Caenorhabditis elegans: one gene and its partners. The main gene of each other region encodes a partner of the protein of the gene in region 2 in a complex. Each region holds a gene or a part of one and is shown on either strand. Other genes may lie near its edges.

What was found.
Region 1: lin-9 (region 2) and lin-53 share a complex: the UniProt entries of both Caenorhabditis elegans proteins name them as parts of the DRM complex.
Region 3: lin-9 (region 2) and lin-35 share a complex: the UniProt entries of both Caenorhabditis elegans proteins name them as parts of the DRM complex.

What each region holds. Positions count from the first base shown.
Region 1 is NC_003279.8:9,616,215-9,621,715, reverse strand, and holds lin-53 (putative histone-binding protein lin-53), read left to right. Parts: upstream 1-1,955; 5' UTR 1,956-1,958; coding exon 1,959-2,114; intron 2,115-2,168; coding exon 2,169-2,752; intron 2,753-2,799; coding exon 2,800-3,313; 3' UTR 3,314-3,505; downstream 3,506-5,501. Other genes in the region: nra-2 (Nicalin), read right to left, coding at 1-217, 258-390, 433-976, 1,035-1,161, 1,209-1,360, 1,406-1,483; putative histone-binding protein rba-1, read left to right, coding at 3,615-3,758, 3,806-4,246, 4,289-4,440, 4,501-4,755, 4,814-5,000, 5,051-5,110; K07A1.10 (Large ribosomal subunit protein mL64), read left to right, coding at 5,399-5,481. UniProt on the Caenorhabditis elegans protein: Core histone-binding subunit that may target chromatin assembly factors, chromatin remodeling factors and histone deacetylases to their histone substrates in a manner that is regulated by nucleosomal DNA.
Region 2 is NC_003281.10:8,896,747-8,905,742, forward strand, and holds lin-9 (Protein lin-9), read right to left. Parts: upstream 7,386-8,996; 5' UTR 7,380-7,385; coding exon 7,323-7,379; intron 7,214-7,322; coding exon 7,095-7,213; intron 7,046-7,094; coding exon 6,913-7,045; intron 6,873-6,912; coding exon 6,270-6,872; intron 6,226-6,269; coding exon 6,067-6,225; intron 5,592-6,066; coding exon 5,181-5,591; intron 5,103-5,180; coding exon 4,998-5,102; intron 4,952-4,997; coding exon 4,802-4,951; intron 4,047-4,801; coding exon 3,849-4,046; 3' UTR 3,492-3,848; downstream 1-3,491. Other genes in the region: unc-32 (V-type proton ATPase 116 kDa subunit a 1), read left to right, coding at 8,882-8,996. UniProt on the Caenorhabditis elegans protein: Synthetic multivulva class B (synMuvB) protein. SynMuvB proteins are required to repress the induction of vulval development by Ras signaling and probably act by forming the multiprotein DRM complex that represses transcription.
Region 3 is NC_003279.8:5,805,886-5,812,204, forward strand, and holds the start of lin-35 (Retinoblastoma-like protein homolog lin-35), read left to right. Parts: upstream 1-1,823; 5' UTR 1,824-1,844; coding exon 1,845-1,902; intron 1,903-2,154; coding exon 2,155-2,250; intron 2,251-2,535; exon of another isoform or gene 2,536-2,612; coding exon of another isoform or gene 2,613-2,753; intron 2,754-3,061; coding exon of another isoform or gene 3,062-3,293; intron 3,294-3,337; coding exon of another isoform or gene 3,338-3,512; intron 3,513-3,557; coding exon of another isoform or gene 3,558-3,651; intron 3,652-3,754; coding exon of another isoform or gene 3,755-3,934; intron 3,935-3,981; coding exon of another isoform or gene 3,982-4,110; exon of another isoform or gene 4,111-4,117; intron 4,118-5,603; coding exon 5,604-5,824; intron 5,825-6,086; coding exon 6,087-6,203; intron 6,204-6,319. Other genes in the region: vps-51 (Vacuolar protein sorting-associated protein 51 homolog), read right to left, coding at 1-327, 376-807, 867-1,028, 1,080-1,254, 1,298-1,356; C32F10.4 (uncharacterized protein), read right to left, coding at 2,613-2,753, 3,062-3,293, 3,338-3,512, 3,558-3,651, 3,755-3,934, 3,982-4,110. UniProt on the Caenorhabditis elegans protein: Key regulator of cell division which acts as a transcriptional repressor and negatively regulates cell cycle progression in its active unphosphorylated form, but allows cell cycle progression when phosphorylated.

The sequences.
Region 1 (5,501 bases), on a different chromosome or scaffold from region 2:
TCGAATATTATCAATAAGCTCATCTTCGTCGAGAGCCGATGGGAGATCAAGAATTGAATTACGAGCTGGATCAGATGGAGATGGAAGAGTAGACAGGGTGATAGCTGGCATTCTCTTGATGTTAAATTTCTCGTGTTCCCAAGCGCTTACTGTCGTCAAAGAGATTTTTTTCGTTACCAACTCTATATTCTTCTTTGGAGAAATGCTGCTGAAATATCTTACGAACGATTAAAATCAATAAACTTTTAAAACAGTACTTAAGTCTTCTGAGAAGTTGAGCTGCTACTGAATTTTCTGATGGTGTCTTTCCAGCATGCATGAAAAATCCTCCCGTTTTGCGACCAATTGCCTCAATACATATTGCCAAGTCAACACGATCATCTGAAAACCCTTCAAAACCGGTAAAACGACACTCTCCTTTTACTGCATTACCTTTTCTAGAAAGTCCAGATTTGGCATAATCAGCGCTGTCAAAGCCTTTCTGGTACTCATCGATCCAGTGACGAGTTCCTTGATAATTGAGCTTTCCAGCTGCTGTCCAAATGAACAAAATATTGTATGGAGGACGTGTGCTTGGAGAATCATAGAATTTTGACAGAACAGCAAGCAATTCGAGAAGTGCAACTATACCAGACCCATTGGAATCAGCGCCAGGCGAGACTCCTGGAACGGCCGATTGTGTGTCATAGTGTGCCACAAATGCAATCGTAGGTGCAGCACGATCTCCACTACTCAAGCGACCAACAATATTCAGTGGTTTGTATGAAGGTGGAAGTTCTGGACTTTGATCGGAAGAAGTGATACTGATTGTGTTTCCGGAAAGTGATTGAAGCAAATGTTGCAGGGCTGTGGGAGCTTTTTCCGAGCGAGTATTGACATCGTGAAGAATAGAAACGGCGTCATCATTGAAAGGAGCCACATAAACAGCCAAGTCGGTCTTTGCGCTCAACAACTTTGCTTCAAGATCGATGAATGCCTGAATAATGAGCATAAATAACTTTTATGGCAATATGAAATTAAATGTTCAAGCTAACCTTCCGATCAATATCGTTAAGTTCATCAAGATTGTCGGGAATGAAAATAAGCACGGCACCGGTAGAAAGTGCCCACATGTCATCGACATCTGTTGTAAGAAGATCTCGCCATGTTGTAACCATAGTTCTAGATATTAAAATATTACTATTTACAAATGAAATATCCAAAAAAACCTGCGAAGAGTTCTTGCACCCAAGGAAACAGCTTCATATGATACGCGATAATTTTTGCATCCATAAATGTTACCACTGATTTCGTATTGATGAAGACGGTACGCATGAAACTCGGTTTCTACGACTTCTCCAACTTGCTGGGACCCGTTCACCTAAATATGGAGAGTTCATCTTCTAAATCATTACCAACAACTTACTACACAAATGGTTAACATTAAAGTCATGTAGAAAAGAAGAGCCGGACTTCGGAAAAAATCGATGATTTCATCCTGCATCTGAAAAAAACATATCTTAAGCTCAAAATCACGAGAATCCTGTGCAAATTAGGATGAAAGATCTTTCGGAGTAGGAATTATTTAATAACACAAACTATCATGATTCTACAGAAATCGATAGAATTAAACCAGAATTGATGATATATAATACCCGAGTAGGGAGAAAACTGCATGAGTTTTCTGAGCGGAATTCAAATGAGCCAAACATGCTCTACCGTACCTTGCAACAGCGGTGAAGGCAAATCGTTGCGAGACCCCTCCCCGCGAAAACCGCGACGCGCACACACTTTGAAAGTGGGTTTTATCGGTCTTCTACAGTTTTGGTCACTTTCCCGCATTAAAATTCTCTGTTTTAATATATTTAAATTCAATTGAATTAATATTTTATTATTCACCCCTTCTTTGTTGTATTATTTTATCTAACTACACTGTTTGAACGATAATTATTCTTTGCAAAAATTGAAAATTTCAGGAAATGGCCACTCTTGAAGATGGAACCTCCGAAGATCGCGTCGCAAATGATGAATACAAAATTTGGAAAAAGAACACCCCGTTCTTGTACGATCTCGTAATGACACATGCGCTTGAGTGGCCTTCACTCAGTGTTCAATGGCTCCCAGACGTTGCGAAGGTATGTGTTCTCATATAATTCACAACTTTCATGAAGTGAATTCAAATAATTTAGGATAACAGCGACCATACTATTCATCGGCTCATTCTTGGAACTCATACTTCAGATGAGCAGAATCACTTGCTTATTTCTAAGATCTGTATGCCAACGGATGATGCCCAATTTGATGCATCTCGCTACGATACCGAGCGCAGTGAATACGGTGGTTTCGGAGCTGTTAACGGAAAAGTGGAACCCGATATTCGCATTAACCACGAAGGGGAGGTTAACAGAGCTCGTTACATGCCTCAAAAGTCGAATATCATTGCTACAAAGTCTCCACATGCTGATGTTTACATTTTCGACTATTTAAAGCACTCTGCTGTTCCTCGTGATAACACGTTCAATCCGCTTATCAGACTGAAAGGACACACGAAGGAAGGCTATGGATTATCATGGAATCCAAACAAAGAAGGTTTGATTCTATCAGCGTCAGATGATCAGACAGTTTGTCATTGGGATATCAACGCAAATCAGAATGTTGCCGGGGAATTGCAAGCGAAGGATGTTTTCAAAGGTCACGAGTCAGTCGTTGAAGATGTTGCTTGGCACGTTTTGCATGATGGTGTCTTCGGATCGGTTGGTGACGATAAGAAATTGTAAGCTTTTGTTTTTTTTCTATTTATTAACTAATTAAAAATTATAGGCTCATTTGGGATGTGCGCACAAGCACTCCTGGACACTGTATCGATGCTCATTCTGCCGAAGTTAACTGTCTCGCATTCAATCCATATTCCGAATTCATTCTGGCCACCGGATCAGCTGATAAAACTGTCGCTCTTTGGGATCTACGTAATCTACGAATGAAACTTCACTCATTTGAATCACATCGTGATGAAATCTTCCAAGTTCAGTGGAGTCCACACAACGAGACTATTCTTGCATCCAGCGGTACTGATAAACGTCTTCATGTGTGGGACCTATCTAAGATTGGAGAAGACCAATCTGCCGAAGACGCGGAAGATGGTCCACCAGAGCTGTTGTTTATTCACGGTGGGCACACCGCCAAGATCAGCGATTTCTCGTGGAACCCGAACGAGCCTTGGGTTGTGTGCAGTGTGTCAGAAGACAATATTCTCCAAGTGTGGCAAATGGCTGATAACATATACAACGAAGTTGACGAAGAAACTCCAGCCGATGTGGTAGAGAGACAACAGTAAAATACGTGAAACGCGCTTAAATTATTTGTATTTAACTTCTATCCTTCTTTAATTTTGCATCTCAACAAATTGTTCATCTTACCATTTATTCAAACGCATATTCTTCACCAACTAAGTTTTTAAAGTTAAAATGTTACCTTGAGATATGATCATATTTTGTTGAACCTGAAATAAATTCGATGACCATTGTCAGATAACTGTTTTGAAATATTATGTTAACGTGATTGTTGTGATAGCTCAGATTGTGATATTTTTGGTTTTTTGTTGTATCTTTTGTTATTTCAGGCAATTTCAGAGCACAATGAGTGAAGCTGAATCGTGTGAAGAAACGAGTAAAGAACATAGAATTTGGAAGAAAAATGTTCCATATCTCTACGATACAGTCGTCACAAAAGAGGTCGAGTGGCCTTCTTTATCAGTGCAATGGATGCCTGATGTCACAAAAGTAAGAATCGGTAAATATGATTTCGCCTTCTTCATTATTTTTTTAAGACAGAGAACTCGGATTCATCGATGCATCGAATGATTCATGGAACACATACTTGTGGAGGAGTTCAGAATCATCTCATGATCTCAAAGTTCACAATAACGACAGACACACCAGAATTCGACGACGCTAAATGGGATTCGGAACGTGAAGAGTTCGGAGGTTATGGAGAGGGCAGCGCTGCAAAATGGGATACTGAGATTAAAATCAACCATCCAGGAGAAGTTCATAGGGCACGTTACATGCCACATAATCCTTTCATTATTGCAAGTCGAGGTCCTTCTGATGACGTTTATATTTTCGACTACACGAAGCACCCATCTGAACCAAAAGACACCAAATTTCGACCTCAATTGCGATTGAAAGGCCATGAAGGCGAAGGATATGGAATGTCGTGGAGCAACACCAGAGAGGGACATTTGCTAACTGCCGGCGATGACGGAATGGTATTTCTAACAAAAGATATACATAAATATACATTTTTTAAGATTTGCCACTGGGATATAAACGCGAATCAGACCATTTCCGGTCAAATAGTGCCACAAAGCAAGTTTAAAGGTCATTCATCAAATGCGGAGGATGTTTCTTTTCACGCGCTCCATAATTTCGTTTTTGGATCTGTTGGAGATGATAGAAAACTGTAAGTATAAATACATCATACCATTCTGTCGAGATTTCAAAATAATTTTCACGTCTTTAGAAACCTATGGGATCTGCGTCAATCAAAGCCACAGCTCACAGCCGTCGGACATACTGCAGAAGTTAATTGTATTACTTTCAATCCGTTTTCCGAATACATTTTAGCAACCGGATCTGTTGATAAAACGGTTGCTTTGTGGGATATGAGGAATATGCGCAAAAAAATGTACACGCTGAAACATCACAACGACGAAATATTTCAAGTATCGTTCAGCCCGCATTATGAAACTGTTCTGGCTAGTAGTGGATCGGATGAGTAAGTTTTTTCCTAATAAGTTGTATTTGTTTAACCTATGAAATTTCAAAAATTTCAGTCGGGTTATCGTTTGGGATATTTCTAAAATTCAAGACCCATCGTCTTCATCAGCTGCATCATCTGATTCTGTTCCACCAGAAGTTATTTTTATTCACGCTGGGCATACTGGAAAAGTTGCAGATTTCTCTTGGAATCCCAACCGCCCATGGACTATTTGCAGCAGCGACGAATTTAATGCATTACAGGCAAGAATTATTTTCAAAAAATTAATCATAACTATTTAATGGTTTTTCAGGTGTGGGAAGTTTCAAACAGTTTAGTTTCGTCGGAAAAATGGGAGACCGAAATGATTTAATCGTCTAAATTGCACTTTGTCGAATTTTACTAATTTTCTCACTTCTGATCTTTGAATGTAAAAATCACATTCCTATCAATGAACGTTTTTTCATTTTCTTTCATATTGTGTTCATCTATTCAGAATTAATTTCTCAGGTTTTCTCTGCCACTAAATATTTACTTTGAAAAATAGTGTGTTCACAATGGGGCGCACTTGCGAAACCATGTTTAGTCGGTTTACATTGCTTATTTTCTTACGATAAGGAATATATTGATTAAACATATTTCAAGGTTATCCAGAAAGAAAATGTTGAGAAATTGGAGACTTTTGGTAAGAAGTTTTGCAACAAATTCAAGTGAGGAAATCGCTCCGAAGGTTGATGTTAGTTTGTGAGTTTTCATTTTTTGCA
Region 2 (8,996 bases):
TTAATTAGCTAGATTTTAGACGTAATTTCTTTCAAATAGTACCTAGTATTAGGCAGCCGACAGGTCATGGGACCAAGCAGTACATTTTTCCGACTGCTAGACTTCATCCGACACTTACCTAGATTCAGAGAATTCAATTTTCACACAACTTGTTAAAATCTCTAGTTTACGAGCTTGTTTTTAACCAGACTTATGGATCCTGAGAATGGAGGGCCATGGAGCCTCCATGGAGGGGATGGCAGTTGGAGATACAATGATTTTGGAGTAATTTTACCTTCGTATTATTTTTCATGTGATTTCATTTTCAATTCACTTAGCCCCGTTTCCTAATGTTCAAGTTGCTATTTCCAATTTATTTTCCTTGGTCCACTTCATATTCCTTGGAATTTTTTCTGCATTCAAATTACCAAATAGCCACGTGCAATATCCCATTCTCTGCAGTTTTGAAATTTGAATTTATACAATAAACATGAGTTGTCAAATATTCAGTCTTAATCTGATATTAGTTCAAATATATTCCAAATCAATTCCAAATATATTCGAAATATATTTCAAATATATTCCAAATATATTTAAAATATATTCCAAATATATTCCAAATCTATTCCAAATATATTCCAAATATATTTCCTATTCTACTAATCTTTTTCTCAATTTCTGTGCGAAATTGTGTTATTATCGTACCAGGGAACAGAGATATGACCAAATCTGTACTCACTGTTCAGATTTTTTATAAAAATGGTGAAAAAAGGCTTTGGATAATTCCAAACATTCATTTGGCAGAAGCTGGAAGTTAATGAAACACACACCGCAGCTGTTAAAACTTATATAAATATATTTTCTGTTTCCAAAATTATAAACTTGTAAAATAAAACCGTTTCAAAACTTTCACGATCGAAAATATGATGCGTGCCAAAAGGACGTCAGAATATATTTGGAATATATTTGGAATATATTTGAAATATATTTGGAATACATTTGGAATAGATTTGGAATATATTTGGAATAGATTTGGAATATATTTGGAATATATTTGGAATATATTTGAAATATATTTGGAATATATCAGTTTCCGGTAATTTTTGTTTGTCCGCTAAGATACTTTGTCACCCAAAAGTTTGTTATCACGGAGAATTGATCAACTATGCTTGATTTATTGCTTTTATACCCCTTATGATCCTTTGAAGCTGAAGGATCAGATCATCAGGAGGTACCCATCTGATCCTTTGAAGCTGAAGGAACAGATCACCAGGAGGTACCCTTCTGATCCTTCGGAGCTGAAGGATCAGATCACCAGGAGGTACCCTTCTGATCCTTTGAAGCTGAATAATCAGATCATCAGGAGGGATCATTGTTCATACATTCAATTGTGAGTAGTCAAGGCCGAAAATCCATGGAAAATTGCATTTAAAAACTTATTCCAGTGAAAAAAAAACAAAAATCGATTGAGAAATATATATAAAAAACTAGTTGAAAAAGTTTGTCACCGAAGATACGCCCGGTCAGAGACAAATGGCACTTTGTCGACTGGATACCATGTCACTTTGGATACTTTGTCCCCAAAAATACCTTGCCACCCTAAAAGTTTGTCCCCTCGGAATGAAGGCCATTTTGATGCATCTCAATCATCTCCAGATTCTTTGCAAGAAGATCATTACTTGGTGCTGGAGGCGGAGACAGAGCAAGAGCTCTGCGTGGAGGGCGTCGTTCTTCTTTTGGCTGAAACTTGAAGACATGACAACAATAACGTCGCGTATTGCACTTTTTTGAGAACAAAAAATCCACATTTCATCTGGAAAATATTTTTTGAAAAACAGTAAAGAAGAAAAAGAAGGAAATAGAAAACCATTGGAACACGAATAAAATGTGAAAAATAAAATCATTTCCCCGTTTCATTGAAGCAAAAGTATTATGTAACAGAGTTAAAAAGTGATGGGAAAGTTTGGCGAACTAGTATTGACTAGTAGTATAATAGTGTTACAAGCATAAAGTTCAAAACAAAAGATGAAAATTTAAGTAAAAAAAAATTCTATTTAATGTACATGGAACTTTTGATGTTTATTTCTCTGCGAGCTTCTCAAAAGTCGCAGGACAGGAGTTTTCGGCTCTTCCACGTGTGGTGAAGGTGTTCGTTGAGGCGTTCCTCTAATTTGCACAACAGCTTTGGCAGGCGGTGCCAGAAAACAGAAGCGGGCATTTGTCGATTTTGCGATCGGTATCTCAGAATCCATTGTTCCTTATTTTATAGAGTTTCTATGTGCATGAACGGATTTCAACGAAAGATAGGTATGATGGCAACACGAGCACACCGTCGGTTGAGTGATGTGATGCACATTTCTCATGTGCTTCCTCACATCATCGGCTCGAGTCATCACAATTTGGCACATCAGGCATTCCTGTGGTGTCATATGATACTTCAATCGATGATGGTTTAGTGCCGCCAAGTCCTTGAGCTTAGAACTGCAGACATTATGCAACATTTCTTCCATATTCTCCACTTCGACGTCTTCTCCATCTGGTTTTGAATCGATTTCCATCACAAAGAGATTTTTGAATCCTTCGACCAGTGTTGGAAATTTAGTGAATTCCTGGCTGAAGGCATCCGAGATTTTGTGGGCGGTATCGGTGGACACGATTAGAACACTCTCACGGACTTTTGAGAGTTGCGTTGCTAATGAGCAACTGCCTGTCGTCTTTCCGACACCTTTTCAGGCTACAAAAATCCGTTTTAGCGTTTTTTGTTCGAGAATATTCTCGATAGAGGCTTCCAACTGATCTACCATGCTGAAAAAAGTATTTATTGTATTTGAAAAAATAATCAAATTGATTTTGGAGCAATACCAGAGAAATGGAGAAATACGGAGAGAAGCAAATAGATTTTTTGTTAATTTTTGCAGCTAAATATAAGAATGATATCAATGTACTTGAAACATTCAAAAATTTCATAAAAGATTAACAGAAATTTTTTAAATTTTAACTATTTTTTCAAATTTTTTAAACAGTTTTAAATGTATTTTTGTCGGTTTTCAGTGAAATTTTTGTTAAAAAATAAGAAAATTAAGAAAAAAAGCTAAAAATGACTTTTAAAAAAATTGAAATTCGTTTTTTGGCGCAAAAAGTTAAAGGGACATGAGATTTCGTAGGGAGCGGGTCTCGCCACGATTCCTCCTATTTTTATTTTTACTTTCAAACGAAACAACGAAGCTCCGAAATAACGCATTCGTGATAAATTTAATAAAGAAATTAGCAGCAAAACAGCAAAAAATGCGAATGGAATTCAAATACGAAGCAAGGCGCGCAACACACTATAAAAATTGATCAAAATTACGCAGCAAAGACAGTTTAAAACTACAGTAATCTTTGAAGGCGCACATCCGTTTGTATTTAACAGACATTTGTCGTGACCAGTTACCGTACTTTTAGCGCTCACTTTTGTGTCCGGGCTAATATCTTCTCACCGCTGGCAAACATAATAAAATGAAAATTCACCTGAAACTTTAAAATTTTATTTATTTTCTAGACAGTCAGTAAAATAAAAAATAGTGGAGTATAACTGACAAGGGTTTCGTTATTTGGCTCGTTTTTCTCGAAAACTGATGATGATGATGATGACAATGAGGAAGAAAATAGAATTTTGGCACATTCGAATTATCAAGGTTGAACTACTTTTAAAAAATAAGAAAAATGGGGATGTGTCTCATGATCGGGTACAATTTTGAAAAGACACAAAGTGATTGAAGAAGGTGGGGAGAGAGAGAGAGCAGAGATGAGAGAACTGAGAATATTCAGAAAAACAAAAACTGACGGGACCGGTTGGCGTTTTTTTGGACAAAATGAGACGCTTTTAGTTATTTTCTGTTCGATACAGTTCCAGCTAGTGCTCCACTTTCGAGCATAATTGTGTGAAATTGTTTCATATGAACTTCAACGTAGTCTTGGAAGAATGCCACGTTGCGGGGGTGAATAGCGGTCCGAATTTCAGATATGGCGTCACCAAGTGATTGAAGATCAACTGCAGAGATCTTTTGAGTTCCCATTGTGCGAACCTGGAAAAATATAATATTTTTTCTAATATTTTTCTGCAGTAAAAAAATTTTTTAATAGTGTTTTACCGATGACCAGGTAATTTTGAATTCTAGGAAACAATTTTAGTTTTTTTTTTGTAAAATAGTAATTTGTAATTAATTCTAATGGGACGATGCAAGTGAACACGTGTATTCAGCTCGACCAACGCCTCGAAAATTTTCAAAAAAGGCGGGAAAAAATATTTGAATTCGCCAAGAGGAATTTCACCGCAGCGCGTGACGGTGTTTGCACAAATTACACCGAATGGTCGAGCTGAAAACACGTGGTGAATTTCTCGTAATTTCTCGACACATTTTTTGCAATGCAAGTGCGCGGAGAAATGACGAGAAATGTCGTGAAATTTGCAATTTCTCCGCATTTCTCGACATATGATGAACGGTGAGATACGCAGAAACATGTGTCCCCGCAGGAAACTCCGCCTACTCACCGCACTTTTAACAGGGTGAAATGTCTTACCACCCTGCGAGGACACATCTCATATGTCGAGAAACGCGTAGAAATTGCGAATTTCACGACATTTCTCGTCATTTCTCCGCACACTTGCATTGCAAAAAATGTGTCGAGAAATGACGAGAAATTCACTTGCATCGTCCCATAATGAAATTAGGAAAGAGGATTTGGTAAAAACCGAAGTTTATTTTCTAATGAATTTTTACATTTTCAATTTTTTTTTTCATTAATAAATTATTATTCTGCAGTCTATAGTGCCACAAACCTGTAAAAGGACAGCTGTCAATGATTGAATAAGTGTCAACGCATGCACATTCTCTACATTTAATCCTTGATTACAGTGCTCTACAAATCTTCCAGCTTGTTGAGAGCACATTTGTCTAACTGCTTCAGGTTTCATATTTGACGTTGAAATCTGCAAACAAATAGATCTTTCGAAGAATCAGGAAATGAAAAATTACATCATTCGAAGAGAAATACATATGGTGATCTTGAATTCCATTCATATTGATATCTATATTCTGATTCACATGTTCCAGATCGATGATAGTTTTGGCGTATTTCTCCTGAAAAAAAATTGTTTTTTAGATTCTATCTAGTTGACTTTTTCATATATCAAAAAAAATTTCTAATTAAAAATGTACCTGAAAAGCTTTCGAATATTTGTCTGACGTCATATTTTGTATCTCGGCATCCGCATTCAATTCGTTCAATTGTCGTATCAATCCCTTTTTGATATCAATTAATTTCGTCAGTTTCACAAGATTCACAAGGAATTTCAGCGGGAAATTTCCAACCATTTCTGCATTTTTTCCATTTAATCGTTCGTCGTTCGGTCCCATTAATGGTCCACCACTTCTCTCGATTTTTCGAGAAACCAGGACGTCACGAACAAGATGTGGATGTGATGAGTCACGAACTGCTGCTACAAATGGACGAACGCCTGATGGAAGCTTAGAGTTGGCTTGTTCAATGAAGTAGGCGATACTCAACAAATCAAGTTTTCCGTCGAGAAGTATTTCCGTGTCACTAACCAGTGTTGGTGGGATATCTGGCTGAAAGAATAAAACATTGGAATTTATAGAATTTCAAATATTCAAATTTCCCTAAAACAAAATAATTTATGATCCAAAACTACCGAATATAGTAATAGGACGTCTTAATTTCCAAAGACTTCCTATTTTCAGCTAAATCATTAAATTTTGTCAATTTCTCCTAACACTTTTTATTGCATATTTTGGTAGTAATTCGATGATTTGAGCACATTTTAAGTCGATAAGAATCCTACTTTGATATTTTTGGTGTCTATCGACTTAAAGTGATCCTAAATCATAGAATTAAAGCGAAATAAACCACTAAAATATGCAATAACTGTTGAAAATGCAATAAGAATTGCATTCCAGCATGTACAAAATGGACAAGTTGGCGAAGTTCACGAATTTAGCTGAAAATAGGTTTGTGGCGAAATTTTAAGACATCTCGTTACAAAATTCGGGCGTTTTGGGTGATATTGAGTCTCCTTTTACAAACCTTGTCAAAAATAATTCTGAATCCTTTCGGAATGACAGCATCAATAATTCCAGAATAAATTCCATCGTAGGGATTTCGAATTCTCGCAAATACACGATTTCCAACCACCATTGGACGTGGAAGCTTGGCTGGAAGATCTTTTAGATCAATCGATGGATCCTGAAAGAACATTTATTGAAAATGATACACCTCTTCAGCCTTACGTTAAGATAACTTCCTTCATAGACACTTCGAATCTTCATTCTTTTCTCTTCCAGGTACATTCTTTCTTCTTCAAAAAACACTTTCGAGCATCTACGTGGCTTTCCGAGAAGTTTTCGAATCGACCGCCACTCAATACGCGTTAAATTCCAATTTTTCAGATTTGGGAAAGATTCGCGGATAATTGTGGCAAACTCGTTTTCTTCTTTGAAAATTTGTTCGTCGATTGCAGAATAGAAGAACTCGCACATGACCCATTGACGAGCTTTCTTATATCGGAGCAAATTGTAGAGTTTCTTTATATTAGCTCTCATAAATGTGCTCACATCTTCACTTGTTTGATTTTTATACGTTTTGAATTGTTTCATCATGGCACTTCGTTCTTGATCTGTACTGAACATGTTGAAGAATGACTGTGTATCTCGATGTTCTACAGCTTCATTTGTCATATTCGCAGGATTATCTAAATCATCAAGACCTGCTACAAGGTTTTGATGCATCTCAATCATCTCCAGATCCTTTGCGAGAAGATCATTACTTGGTGCTGGAGGCGGAGACAGAGCAAGAGCTCTGCGTGGAGGGCGTCGTTCTTCTTTTGGCTGGAACTTGGAGACATGACAACAATACAATTGTTTTAAAACTTACAATATATTCCAAAGCACAACTGGAAGATTCATAATCAAGAGCTGCCTTTGCGAGCATTGTTAGACTTGAGTTTCGGGTCAATGAGTTCACTGAAGGAGAATCTCTACCTCCATTCAGGCGTTTCGCGGGAGATCTGTAAAATCATAAGATTAGTCGGCCACTTTTTCGGAACAGCTTGTTACTTTTTGGGAGATCCGGTACGTTTGATACTGCGAGACGGTGATAGGTATAGTTCTTCATTACGATATCTCGATGGAACTTTAGATGTTTCACGGAGACTGTATGGTGAGCTGGTGCGATCCTGAAAATACCGAATGTCATGCATACTTTCAATATCTTTCTTTAATTTACAACTTCTTTATTTTTAAAAACACGAAAACCCAATAAAATCAATATTTCCAATAACTTACAGGATCAGACGTGTCACTTGCTGCCTTTTTCCGCGGACTTCTCACCGCAGACGACATTTTTATCTGAAAAATAACAAATTTTTGAATAATTTCAGACCACGAGACAAAAATCAATGAAAGAATGCGGACGCGCGCGCGCGAAAAAAACTTTGAAATGGCGGTTCTTTTCCCCAACCAACAGCCGATTTCAAACAGCGTGATGGTCTCGACGCGATTGCCCTGCGGCAGTGTAGCGAGGTACGGTGGAGCGCTGTCTGTTGGAAAACAGAACACAGCTGAGAGAAGTGAATGTGGTGGGAAACGGAAAAAAGGGAGAGCTGCTGTTTGACAGTCGAACGTCGTGACATTCCGTTTTTGGATTTTCTCGTGAAAGTTTTTTTTTTTTTTTTATTTGTTTTATTTCTTATTTGTATTGATTTTCCATCTTTCCTGGGTTATCATTAAATTTTAAACATGGTTTTACACAAGATCATGCGGTGAAACATGTTTTTTTCTTCCTTTCCGCATTTAAAACGAATTATTTTGTTTATATTGTTCTTCTCTTTCCATTCTCATGATTCATTTCTCTCCTTATTGGCAAGAAACATTATAAAATTGTTCATTCCTACTAAGTGTTTACCAAAATTTATTTTGGCCGCAAAGTTTTAAAATTGTAGAATAAACTTTTCATTAAAAATATTTCGTCTTCAATCACTCATCTTTGTTCCGAAAACATCTCACAGGTTTTTTCTTCAAAGCAATATTCTTCTTTAGTGTTTTTAGTCAGCGTTTTTCGTTCTGGATCTGGATTCTATGGTTTGATGTTACTTTGAAACACTATTTATAAAATCTTTTTGCAAAGAAACAATTCTCTTAAATTTAATACAATTTCCGCATCAAAATTGAAGTTTTTGTGCAAAGTTGACCTCTCGCAGCGTAATCTTATCGTTTTTTCGCGTTATCACCACTCAATCTCCCCCACTGCTCTACAATTATTTCATTTCTCTCAACCTTTTGATCGAATCGATTGAATTTCATAATATCCACGAAATGTGAGTCGCCCAATGTTTACGTTTCTCCATCCTATAACACTGCTTACAAATGGTTTCAGTGTTCAAACATTGCGGTGAATGAGGCAGACAATCAGACATTTTCTTTCTTTTAAAACCTGTCCTGTTCATTTCTTCCTCATCTCCTTTAGGTTTTCTTATTCGCCATCTGAAAGTTTATTTCTCTGCGTCTAGCTATTAGATCCTGGAGAATTACGCTCTAATGTCGATGACGTGTCGGCTGATCGATTAGATTGCGCAAATTGTTTCTTTAGTTTTTTCTAGATTTCTCTCCCTTTTTTCATGATATTCCAATGGAGCACGTTTGAGCGCATGCTCTCTTCTTGCTCAGTGCTGCTCCGTATCGATCCCTCTCCGTCAATATCTGGTCTTCGGTCCTGAGGCCTTCGCTCCTAGCCTCGTGCTTTTCTTAAATGTTTTCTCTCGAAAGAAGCGTTTTTGATTTTTTTTTCCTTCTTATTTTTGAAATCTTCATATTATTTCATGGAAATTCTTACAGAATCAACTAGAATGGGTGATTACGTGACTCCCGGCGAGGAGCCACCACAACCGGGCATCTATCGAAGTGAGCAGATGTGCCTGGCTCAACTCTACCTTCAATCTGATGCTTCCTATCAATGCGTTG
Region 3 (6,319 bases), on a different chromosome or scaffold from region 2:
GACTTGGTGAACAAAAACTTGTTCAATTTTGCTTGCTAAAGCGGATAAATCCTTTTCTTCATTAATTAATGCTTTTCGAACTTCATTCAAACCATTTTTGAGTTCTTCTTTTATTCTTGTCAATGATAAATCAATCTCGTGTTTTGATACTGCATTGATTAGTTCGATAGTTAATGGAAGAAAGTCAAGTCCAGGAATCACATAGCGGCAGGTTGAGATTTTTCGAAAATATCTATCAAGAGCCCGGACGACAATTGAACAGTCTTTTGCATCACTTGATGATAGAAAAACTTTTGAAACCAAAGCATGCAGAGAATTCATTTCCGTCTGTAAAAAAACTTTAATTTAATCCAAATCGTTTTTAAATTAACAAACCTTCAAAACCGTAATAAGATCTTCTCGTTTATCCTCAAATAATCGATCATGAGTTGTTGCAATCAGAGTGAGATTTGGAATAAAACTCTCAGAAGCTTTATCAACGAGATCCAAAACATCCGAATGATTTGCTGATAATTCTTTCAAATCTACTCTTAAAGATTGTTCTGAACACGTGAGCAACACTTTCTGAACTTCATCTTCATCTCTTCCAATTGTTAATAATAAATCTACAGCTTCTGATACTAATTCTGCACCAGAAGCCGGATTTCGCAGTTGATCCATTAATTGATTTTCCGTCATATCATAAATTTTCTTACTTTTTTGAAGAACTAATTGAACTGTTGGAACGTCTTTATACTGCGATAGTGACTCTTCTGCTAATTTGAACATTCGAAGAACTTCTCCATAGTTTCGCTCATCGAATTCACTCTGGAAGTTGTTTAGTTTGATGCAATATGAAAAAAAAGTTTTAAAATTAAAAATGTTACCCGCAGAACATGAGGAAGATCGAAAATATGCTTCAAACTATTCACAACTTTATACGAGCTTCCCAATTGTAGAATATCGTCACGTTTTTCGCCCAAAACTCCGTCAAGATTCCCAATTAGAGTCGATATTGTCGACATACTTCGGCTGAGAGATTTCATTTCCTGAAAATTAACATTAAAATTGTCTGATTTTATTATTATTCGAAAACTAACAGAATCGAGTTGCGTGAATTCATCTTGTATTTTTCGAACCGTATTTGTCGCAGTCAGAAATTTATTGTAATTTTCGTAGACTATTTGATGTACATCTGAATCAAGCCTTCTCACAGCTGAAACCATCTCCTCCTCTTCTTTTACTAATCCATCAAGCGACTTTTCACGGAGTAATCTGAATTAATAATATTTATCAGTGCATATCTCTGAAAACTAACTTGACGACAAATGCTTCGACATCAAAATCCGGCTTTGTGACGTCCAAAACACTAGACATTTTACATTCAATACTGAAAAATTAAAGAAAATTCAGGAAAACTCGAGAATGAAAAAAAACAGATTTGAGACACCATCAATACAAAGGGAACGAAATTTGGGGGAAATGCTGGTTGCCGAAAAAATAAGTAGAAGGTAAGATGTGTTCAACTGGAACATACATTTTCTGAATTGCAAACTCGATTTCTCTCACATTCACAATTTTTAATCACATTTAATGCTTCAGTTTTAGAAAGTTCTGAAGTATCCTCTTCTTCCTATTCAGTTTCTCAAAATCGATGGTGTCTCCAGGACGTGCACAAATGCGCTCTATTGCGAATTGTGGAACATCATTGCGCGCGCGACTAGAAAAAAATGAGCGCGTTCTTGAAAATTATTTTGCTTTCTCTAATTTTAAACGATTTCGATTACATTTTATCTGAACTTTCTTGGGTTTAATCGAATAAAAAACACAAAAATATTCTTCAGACTGGTAAAAACTTCTTCAATATGCCGAAACGAGCAGCCGATGAGCCTGGAACATCAACAACTGACCCATTTCACGAGCGTAAGCTTTAAATGATTTTATTCAAAGCGTATAATTATACTTGTCTGGAAAGTGAGGCGTTATCAAAGCTAGTTTCTCCGCCGCAGTGAATAGAAAAACTGATTAATGCAATTTGCGCAGGGTTCGATTTTTTCGAAATTTTTTAAACAGCGTTCAAGATTTTACTTGCCTTTCCATCAGGGAGAGAAATTTTTTAGAACTCAGCCTCAAATTACCGCAAATAAATTTAGATATTAATTGATTTATTTTCAGAAAGCCCATTCGATGCCGTGTTAGCCGGCACGGAGACAACGGATACAATATGTGAAGAGCCACCAGCAAAACGAATCGACTTAGATATAAAGCAAGGTATGGGGTTTTATAAATATTAAATCTGATTATTTTCTCCTTTTCAAAAATATTAAACAAAAACAAGGGTTTGCAGCCTCATGTGATAATCTAAATGACTGCTTTGTTTTACATATTAAGAGCATCCTTCGTTTTTCCAATAATTTTCTCTATGAAGATAGATATTCCCCAGTTCATTATCACCTTTATCACAACTCGCTATCATCTCCTACTTATATAGGAAATTATGAAGTTATCAAGCGCTCAGTCACCTGACTAGTTAAGAGGTCACTAACAACAATAGCTACCAATCAAGCAACATTTTTATTATTGCACACAACCACGAGCAAATGTCAAAATATACATAGAAGACAGAGTGAAATCTATTGAAGAACGTCACTTCGGACTGTTATATGTCCTGGTTCAACCACGTCACTATATGCAGGCGGCCGAGAAGTTGCACGTGGTCGGGTTGGATCTTCATCATTTGTAAACGCCGAATTGTCAGCTCCTGTTGGTTCACTCTGAAATTGTTACAGAGTTTTAGTGATGTCATAGGGAAAGAATTTTAGAGCTCATTCTGGCTCGAATTTGCTGGAAATCGGAGGTTTCCCAATAATAACCATTTTTCTGATATTAGTATTACTTTTTCGACTACAAGCGCTCCGTAACAAAATTTAGCGGGTTATTTGAAGTTAATTATAATCGCATTAAGACGTATTTATCTAATGCAGCTTATAATATAGAAAGAATAGCTTAGTTTTATATTATTGATTAATGAATAGTCGTTGAAACGGATTTCATAAAGCTTCAAAAAATTTTCAAAACTCACATTGGCAACTGTCAAAATCGGTGTCGATACGAAAGAACCACTCCTCGTTGATGCCGACGTCGTCGAACTCTCGCTATCAACAGGTTGTTGTTTTGTAGGAATCGGAGGAGCAGTTTGACTTGACATTGGTGGGGCGTAGGCGGTATATCTTGGTGGTGGTGGCATACCACTGGGACTCATTGGTGTTGGTACAATGTATTGAACATTGTAATTTGACGCCTGATGTTGAGGTCTGAACCATTGAATGAATATTCATAATTGAAATAATGGACTCACAATCTGTATGCATTTCTTCTGAGGAAGTTGTAGAGAATCATCATATATCGCATTTGGACGAGTGCAACAATAATACTAACAGTTAGGAAGAAACATGAGATTATAACCATTTCTAATTCTCCAGTTGTCATTTTTGGAACACATCCCTTCGCAGTGGTTACATCCTTTTGGTTATCTTCAAATCAGTTTCTTTATTCCGGAAAATTGTATTGAAACTAACCTGGATTGCAAATGTTATCATTGTTATCCGATAAATAAATACATGCAATAACTGCTCCCAGGATCAAGAAAAACACCCAAAATGTGTACATTGACTGAAATTGATAATTATTTCTCAAAGTGTATATTAACGAGAATATTGATGCTTCCATAATTGACTAGGAACATCGAATCTTGTGAGTTATATTTAAAACGTACTAGATATAACATGTAAGCAGTGATATAGGCAATTTTTCTACGCTTTGCACCAGTTGATAGAACAAACATCATGGCGCTTCCAATAGAAATCTCGAAAACGTAGAGCACAAATGGAGATGGATACAAAAGTCCGAATATTTGACATATCATGAGAATGGATCCGAGAATTCCAACAGCTCCCTGAAAAATGTTCAATCCTTGCTGAGATTCAAAATTTCTGAACTTACACCAATTGGAAGTCCACAAAATACCCTTGGCTCCGGTTCAGCAGCTATCCGCTGTGTTGGCTGATGTGGTTCAGCCCGTTGTTGCGGGTGCTGATACGGATCCGTCGTTTGAGAAGACTCGGTTGTCATGGTTCTTCTGGAATCAATACAATTTTCTTGGCTTATATGGTTTATAAATGCATTTGTGTGTGTCTGAGTGTGCCAACAAGAGACCTCTACGAGAGAAAAGAAAAGGAGAAGCAGAGTCGGGGAGGTGACATACGACTGATATGGTCGATGTCACGACAATATGATTCTCTTTTTCTCCCCCTTTCAATTCTTCATGTGTCGGTTGAGTAAATATTGCATGAAACTGTAGAAATGAGGGCATTGGGAGATAGAGAGAGGGACGTTGAAAATAGAGAAGAGCACTAGAATCAGCTGAGAGTATGTGGAGAAATAAAGAATGATAAGAACGTTGGAAGAAACTAGAACAATTTTGGCAGCTTAGTTTCGTCGTTACTTGATTTGTCACAATTAAATATGGATAAGTTGAGAATCAAGGATGCCAAAAAATATTTTTGACAAAAAAAAACAAAAAATTTCTTGTTCAAATTTCGTACCAAAAACAAAAAAAAATTGGATTTTATTTTTCTCGCGATTTAAAGTTAAAAATTTCGAAATTTTTTTTTGGTTTTTATGATATTTATACAATTGTATTTCTATAGAAATACCGAAAAAAAATTGGTGACTTATCGAATTTGTTTTAATTGGAAAAATATAATGGATTCAATTCGTTCTTTAAAAATTATTGGAAATTACTTTAAAATTGAAAAAATTGAAATTTTTTTCATTAATTTAAAAACTGACATCCTTGGGTCAATTCATTGCCATCTGGATAAATTTCCTTTAATATTGTAAATCATTGAGTGTTTCCAGTTGTGTAGGTCTCACTATGAAGAAACTATGAAAGAGGAAAAAGAAAATATAGAAAACCCATAAAAGTGGGAAAAAAACGGAAATTCGTGTTCTCCGTCGAAAAATATCACAATTTATGGGCTTATATGTGTGCGGGACAATGAATTCAATGTAATATTATTACTATGCACATCAATAAATTCAAATATAGCTGGTATCCACTCTTTTGGGTTTTTTCTTTTCGATATGCACCTATGGGAAAAGTATCAAATTTCAAGACAAATCAGTGGTTTTGTTCACGAGAGAATTTGCCTAGTTTCAGAAGGTTTATGAAATATCAATTAGTATTAAGAGTACACAAAATTATAGGATTTTTTGTTGAAAATTTAAAATGGTGCTTCTCCGTTTAAGATATATTTAACAAAAAATCTAACAAAATTAAATTGGTAAACGTTGATATAAAAAATCAGAAAATTGGTTTGGCATTTCAGAAAATATTTCAAGATGGATCAATCGTACTTGTTAACAGTATCAATTTTAATTTAATTTAATTTTTTTTCAAAATATAATAAATATGTTTAAAAATTCATTGATAATAAAAATTAAACGTTTTTCATAAATCAAACTTCGAAACATTTTCATAAAAAGGTAGCACAAGCAATAAGAAATGTTCTTATCACAGTCAACCTAGATGACATGAAATATTAAATGATAACTGTTTTCAGAATTCAATGGTGGAGTGCAAAGTGGAGGGCTGATTAAAAATGAATCCGAATTGACTCAAATGACAATCAAACAAGAAACAGAAGGAAACATAAATGAAGCTAGACGAGAAGAAGAAGACGAAGAACAAGATGAAGATTCCAGAACATCAATGCCACCTGCATTGGGAGAAGATGATGATTATGAGGAGGATGATGCTGATAGTTTTATTGATAAAACTAATGTAATACTATGTTTCTTCTAGTTTTACAACATAATATTTAAAATTATACGGAAAATGATGCGGATAATTTTAATTTTCATCAACACTTGAAAAAGGAAGTCTAGGACTAAGATTTTCTAAAAATTATATCAATGTCAACCTGAAAAGTTAATATCATAATCAGAAAAAAGTATTTTTATTAAACGAAAAAATGAAAAAAAAACCCCCTTTTTGCCCCTGATTGCTCAAATTAAAGTATAAAAAAGAATTTTAAACTTTTCAGACACCGCCACCATCACAATCATTTCTGGAAGGATGTCGAGCAGCTAATTTACCAAATGACATTGTTACTGGTGCATGGGAAACGTACAACCACGCGGTTCAACGGGTTTCTCTTGAGGTTAATTGAGTAGTCAACGAATGCGGGGAAGGGGTTTTTTCAAAACAAACCACTACTATATAATGTAAAAACTGAATAATTCAAGTAGCACACATAGTGAACACAAGTGTGCCTAA